Linked DNA regions of Mus musculus: region 2 is reported to be linked to region 1. The links are microRNA targets in miRTarBase. Many come from high-throughput screens and were not tested one by one. Region 1 holds a microRNA gene; the other region holds the end of a gene's coding sequence.
What was found. Region 1 holds the annotated microRNA mmu-miR-1843a-5p (UAUGGAGGUCUCUGUCUGACU, at 1,532-1,552, opposite strand). A microRNA usually pairs through its seed, bases 2 to 8, with sites in the 3' UTR of a target mRNA and lowers its output. Matches are read on the target gene's strand: a 7mer-m8 pairs with bases 2 to 8, a 7mer-A1 pairs with bases 2 to 7 and ends in A, and an 8mer does both.

Region 1 (3,000 bases):
AAGAGGAAATTTGACTCACTAGATACATATTTTGTGGCAACGCCATGGTAGGTGCTAAGAACACAAGGGGCAAGCTTTTAAAGATCTGCCAGGGAGGTCTAGTGAGGGAGTTTCCTCGGGTAGCTAGGAATTGAGCAGATGAACAACAAGGAGAGCGGTGTACACTAGGACAACTGTAGTTCTAGTACTTGGGAGGCTGGGGCACCATGAGTTCCAGGCCAGTCTGTGTTACAAAACAAGGCCCTGTAACAAAAATCAGAAAAAGGGGGATGGAGAGATGGGTCAGAACTTAAGAGCCACAGGCTGCTTTTATGGAGGACCTAAATTTGATTTCCAACATCCACATGATGGCTCATAACACCAGTAAATCTAGTTCCAGGAGATCCAATGACCTCTTCTGGTCTCTACAGGCACTAGGCACACACATGATGCAGATGCAAACGAATACGCATACGTATACAACAAAAGTTTTAATAAATCAAAAGAAAAGAGGACAAATCCTTGTGTTGTATCTAGAAGAAGAGAGACTGCACAGAAGGACAGGCTGCTTAAGCAGTTCTTCTTTTATTTTTCAATCTAGTGAAATAGGTTATTGATTAAAAATTATTTAAATTTTTATAGCATCATACACAATATATGTTCTGGGTATATAAATATGAACAAAGATAACCCCAACGAGCTATAAGACAACAGCAAAAATTGTTTAAGAATCTGCTGCTCTAAATACAAAATTCCAAGTAAAGAGGCAGTGTGGACAGCAACTATGGGAAGGAGGTGACAGCTATGACGGAGAGGCTGCTGGAACTTGAGGTGCCAGGCACGATTAGAGCAAGGAAACCTATGCGGGGCTCCAGGATTTCACCCAGAAAAACTGTAGGAGTGAGGACGGCATTAAGAAAAGCAATGGAGAATAGAACAGAGCGCTGGGGAGAAAGCAGGCGTTTAACAAATGTGCCAGTAGGTAGGAAAGAGGAGAAGGGGAAGAGACCGGCTAGCTAAGTGTGGGGGCCACTCTTGTAGTGAGCACTTGGGAAGATGGCACAGGAGGACGGCCAGATATTGAGGCTACCTTGGGCTCCACAGTGATATTTGTCTCAAAATACAAAGAAGAGAAGGGAAGACAGAAGGACTAGGGAAGAGAGGGAAGGAAAAGGAAGAGGAGCTGACTAGCTAGCCCCTAAGTAGAGCTATTCGATGAGGAGGTCTGCTCTTTGCTGTTTTTTTTCTACTGTTCCATCTAAGCTCCTGGGTCCTCCTAATCCTGATCTCTCTTTGTCCCTTCATCAGCTCTCTACACAGTTAATGAGGCTGTTGTGAGCACTGGACTCACAGGGAATAAGGTAAATACTCAATGAAGTAATAGTCTTCCACTTATTTTCCTAACAGAGTAGTAACTTCAGTTTATTTCCTTTTTGTAAGATAGTACATTTAATCAGCAGAGATCCTAAACAAACTAATAAGGAAATCAGTAAGTAGAGTGAGAGTCTAAGGTTGTATGGAGGTGAACGATCAGACTCAGCCAGCTATTCTAAGTCAGACAGAGACCTCCATATTCATGTAGGACCGCTGCCTTCTGCAAACAAAGGCATTTTCTCCTTTGTCTACATGGTTGGTTTTGCAGCTTCCAGTTTGAATTCCTTTTGGTCAAACTTATTGACCAAACTTATTGTCCCTTAGATAGGCTAGAGATATACCTCTTTCGCATGTCTATGTAGTGTGATACCCTGGAGTTGATCCTCAGCACCACACATTCAAACACAGCAGTTAACATGATACACTACTATGTATTAACTCTACATGTACCTAGTTGAATATGTTATTTCAAAAGTATACACCAATGAACCACACCAGATCAAGACATGATTTCAAGCTTGGTCAATATCTTACCCTGGGATACCACTATTCTAACACCTATAATCTGCCTGTCCTTAAACACCACACAAACGGAATCATAGAAGACAGGTTCCTCTGTGGCTGTCTTCTTTCACTCAAAATTCTAGCCATGAGGCTCATGCACATCTACATGTGTGAGAGCATCAAGGTGTTCTTTTAATGTTTGCCCAGTGTTTTACTACATGGCCACTGTCCGCTCTGCTATCCACTGTCCTTTAGTGGACATTAGGCTTGTGTCAGCTTTTGGCTACACTAAGTAAAGCAGTCGCCATACTCCTGTATTTACTTATCCCCAGTGGAAACACAATTGCATCTCTTAGGGAGATCTGAGAGTGAGGCTCAAAATGTTATAAAGGCCATACCTTTAGCCTCAGCAGACACTGACCGCTTCCCCTGACGGCAGTACCTATTTAGAGTTGCCGAAAGTATAAAGCAGGATGGCTTCCTTAGTCTCACATCCCGGTCAACACTATCAGTCTTTTCCACTGGAACAATTCCAATCATTTTCAGTTACCTCATGAGTAATGAAGTTGAAAAGCTTCCTTACTTTTCTTCCTTCCTTTTTTAACTCTCATTAACTTCAGGCTGGCCATTCAGGTAAAGATGACCTTTAATTCCTGGGGTTGCCTTTCCAGAGGTCCTGGGTTACATTCCCAGTACCCACAGCTTACAACTATCTGTAACTCCATTTTCTAGGGAGTCCTACACATTCTGCTGACCTCTTGGGACACCAGACACACATAGAAGGATTAAAAAATTAAAATTACTTTAAAATGGAATTCTATCTTTCATAGATCATACTTTTTTATATACTCTGGCTATAAATTCTTATTCAATATATACATTACAAATTACAAGTACTTGTCCTTGGCTTATCTTTTCACAGATGTCATACCGTCTTTGATGAACAGAGGTCTTTAATTTTAAGAAATCAAATTTAGTAATTTTTTTCTAGTTCTATCCATTTGCCTAAGAATTTCATGAATTCATTGTTTTTAATAGCTGAGTTGTACTCCATTGTGTAAATGTAGCACATTTTCTGTATCCATTTCTCTGTTGAAGGACATCTGGGTTCTTTCCGGCTCCTGGCTATTATAAATAAGGTTG
Region 2 (3,726 bases), not on the chromosome of region 1:
AGCCGTGAGTTCTCACTGGAAACCTGCCATTCCTCGGAGCACGGAGGAGCCTCCAGTGGGCCTTCTCTGGAACGGGAGCAGTGTGAGGAGTCAGGGTCCACCGTGGACGCCACATTAGTCAAAACTTGCATAAGCACAGTCATGAAGACTGCAGCGGTTAATTCACTGCTACCCAAAAATGATGTTTTGGGTGGGGTCCTCAAAACAAAACAACAACTGAAGACACTCAATCATTTTGATCTGGGTAATGGCATTCTGGTCAACAGCCTAGGAGAGGAGCCGATTCCTTCCCTGCGCAGAGGCCGGAAAAGGCGCTGTAAGACCAAGCACTTGGAACAAAACGGTGTTAAAAAACTGCGACCACCGAGCAGTGACATGGATCTGGCCCCCAAGGACCCAGGGCTGCTTGAGGTGGGGCGGAAATTGCAGCAGGAGGAAGAGGACCAGCAGCTGGCTCTGCAGTCACATCGCATGTTTGACAGTGAGAGGCGGACTATGAGCCGGCGAAAAGGAAGCGTAGATCAGTATCTCTTGAGGTCCAGCAGCTTGGCTGGGGCCAAGTAGCACTTGATGTATAGAATAATGTTACCTGCTTCAGAGGTCCTTGACCTGTCATTTATCCAAAAGAGCTAGCTGAATGTTCTCATTTTGAGTTTCTCTCAATGGCAAACCACTGTCTGCTATGGTTCTGAGAGGATCCAGAGCCTTGGTATTCAAAAGCCAAGTGTCGGCATCTTTGGCTTTCTAGGACCAGGGCCAGTACTCCTCACTCTTTGAGTGAGCCAACTCTGAAGGCTTCTGGGCCCAAATCTGGCAGTACCCACTTGGAGTGAGCTTGGGAGTGGCCCTCATTCATGAATGTGAGGGCCAGTGTTAGAGATGGTAGGGAGATGGGATGGATACCTTCTCACACTCATAAAGCCCCTGGCTTCTTCCCACAGAGTGGTGTTTAAGTTAGCCTTGCAGATAAACATGGATTCTTTTCAGAGACAAGCAGTGCCAGTACTTTGGAAGAGCCAAGATAAATAGATGCTCACATTCATCTTCCCTCCCCTTCGCTACATGTTATTTCTACATACCCAAGTCAGTTGAGCTCAGAACTTTTACCTCTACAGAAATTATTTGCATTCTTTGTCTAAACTATGACATTTGATTGAAGCAGTGTGGCTGACGCTGGTCTTCCTGCGACCTGATTGCTAAGTGCTGTCAGCTGGATGTCCAGGTTCTCTTAGCTGCCAGGTGGCCTAGCCCAGACTGACCACTGGCTCTCAGGCCACAAGTCCCATGGATTCTCTACAATCACAGGGTGTCCAAAGGAAGTACAGCCTAGGGCACGCCAGGGCCATGACTGAACATGACAGTGCAAAGCCCACCTAGAAGCACTTCACCTTGCCGGGATGGAAAGCAGGACTGGAGTGACTTCCCTGCCTGCTTACTGCTCCTCTTCTCCCGGGAGCCCTCGCCTGGGGCCGAACTGGGAGGTTTCCTTACTACTTCCCACATGGCAATGGCAAAACTTCCCTAAAGTCAGGCAAAGGACAAAGCTGAAACTCCATACTGTGGAAACAAGGTATCTAGCTGGATGCAGCTGGTCAATTCAGTCCCATGGACCTTTGGGGTTTATTTTTCTTAGCAGCTTGACACCGTGTGTCTTTTGCATCCCTGGTGGTGCTTGGTGCTTCTGCCCTTCTGGGCTTATTGAGAATAGGATTATGATACGGTTTTAGGGACTCTCAGGTGGGCTGGCCTTTCCTGTGTGTGTGAGCTGTTACATAGTCATGTGACTGTCATTTTCACAAACCTTCCAGAGCTTTTACACTTTTGTTCCCTTTAAAAGGTCCCAGCAAGATACTCCATAGTCATCTGATCAGAATGCTTCTGAAACGTTCGAAGCTAGAAGTAGCTGGAGCTTAGACTCACTTTTCTGTGCCAAGGGAGATGTCAGTCTCTGGGAATTCTAGAAGAGAGAACTTCAGATTTGGAGTTAGACAGAAACTGGTTGAAGCTTCTGAAGGTGGGAAGAAGGATGTGGACTCCCAAGCACTATGTCCCTTGAAGCAGACAGAACTTAATTTCTCTGCAGCTCATAGTTGACTGTTCGCAGGAATGTTTGATGTGTAAGGTGGCCATTAGCAAGGTGGCTTCAGAGGCTGCTCTGGCAGGAACTGTGTGAGTCTGGAGTGTGTGTGTGTTTTTAAAACATGAAATAGTCTCATTACTTTATACTCACACGGCTTTACTCCCCATCCTAGGCAACTTAGGGCTTTTCAGGGCTGCGGGAAGGCAGGCCAGCACCCCAGGGAGGAGAGCTGGCCCCGGCTGCGGACACCGGAAAATCCCATTAGAGAAAACTTAGAAATGTCTACCAAGTCATGTATTTCCTTTATGAGCTTAGTAATTATTATTGGAAGGCTAGGCTTACTGGGTAGCTTTAAAGACACTTATTTTTCCACTTGCCACCCTTTTATATGTCACTAGTGCTTAGAAAAACACTTTCAGTTGGAATTAATTTTTGGTTTTGGTAAGAAGATAAAATATTTTAATAGATGAAAGATATATATTTTAAATATTCCCCTGCCCCTAGTGACTACCTTGAGTAGAGTGCGCAGCAGTGGCAACAAGTGTGGGCTCAGGTGCTGTTGCTGCTGAGTGAGTGTTGCAGACACTGGGCTGTCCCTCTGTACCCCACCCCACCCCCCAGGGAGACCCCAAGGACTGTAGACAGTGTTCTTTCCCATAATTCCTGCTGAGAGCAGTGGCCCTTGAAATAGAGGCAAAACAGTTTATGTTGGGAAGGCGTGGCTTATTCTTTAGTTTGCTTACCCTTGAAAATGGAAAAACTACTAACGTATCTGCATACAAGATGCTCTCAAACTCAGTGAAACCTGAACACTTCATTTCTGAGAATTCCCCATCTTGGTGTTTGACTGAAGTCCATTGCAGCTACAGTTGCTGATGGGGATCCCATAGGAGAAAATGGACCAGGGAAGAGAACGCTTGGGAGGCTGGTGAGCTTGAGTGGAAGACATCCTTTTACAGCTAGAACTAGCTGCAGTCACTGCAGTCCTAGCGACCTGCACACTGCCCACATTCTGCTGTGCTCCTTAGTGTGTGTGCAAAGAGGAAACTAGGAGAGACAGGAGGCTAAGTCTTTCTGATGGGGAATCCAAGAGATGTGCTATGCCTCAAGAGGGCTTGGTAGCCCTTCTCTAGAGGGGAACCCTTATACCTGTTTGAAGAAGTCATCTAAATCATCTGGGCCTGATGTGCTGGTATCAAGTCGGGAAGTACTCTGCCAGCACCCAGCTTCTGGCCTCGGGCCCTTAGTACTCTGCCAGCACCCAGCCTCTGGCCTCGGGCCCTTAGTTGCCTCTTTAAATAAAAGAAAAGAAAGAAAGAAAAAAGTCTGCCTGAGACTTGACTAGAAATCCTTCCTAACTGACCTCATTTATTTAAAAAAAAATTCTTTGATTATGGAAGAAGTACTTTTTTTTTTTAAGTCTTTTTTTTTTTTAAGGTAAAATGCCCCTCAAAAATTAAAGCTATTTAGTTATTGTCTGATTACAAACTGGCCACTGACTAAAATGGGAGGCTAGTGAGGGAGGCTGTGTTCATTCAGAAGGCACTTCTGAGCTCTTAGACCTGCCACCCTGTGCTGGGCCATGTGTAGTGCAGTGTGCATGGATGCGCTTGACCCAAGAGTATATCCATGAACTTTGAAAGGCC

Region 2: miRTarBase lists Rnf169 as a target of mmu-miR-1843a-5p. Seed matches in the 3' UTR shown: 7mer-A1 at 1,551-1,557 and 7mer-A1 at 1,852-1,858.

The regions. Positions count from the first base shown.
Region 1 is chr12:80,390,123-80,393,122 of GRCm38, forward strand. Mir1843a (microRNA 1843a) reads right to left here and starts at 1,555; the gene lies at 1,491-1,555. The region is part of intron 5 of Dcaf5 (DDB1 and CUL4 associated factor 5); the gene reads right to left. It also overlaps Scarna3b.
Region 2 is chr7:99,922,140-99,925,865 of GRCm38, reverse strand. It overlaps Rnf169 (ring finger protein 169), which reads left to right. Exons shown (of 6, transcript NM_175388.3): 6 at 1-3,726. The coding sequence ends at 564. Among named protein-coding and RNA genes, the nearest start is that of Gm5115, 8.9 kb to the left of the region's middle.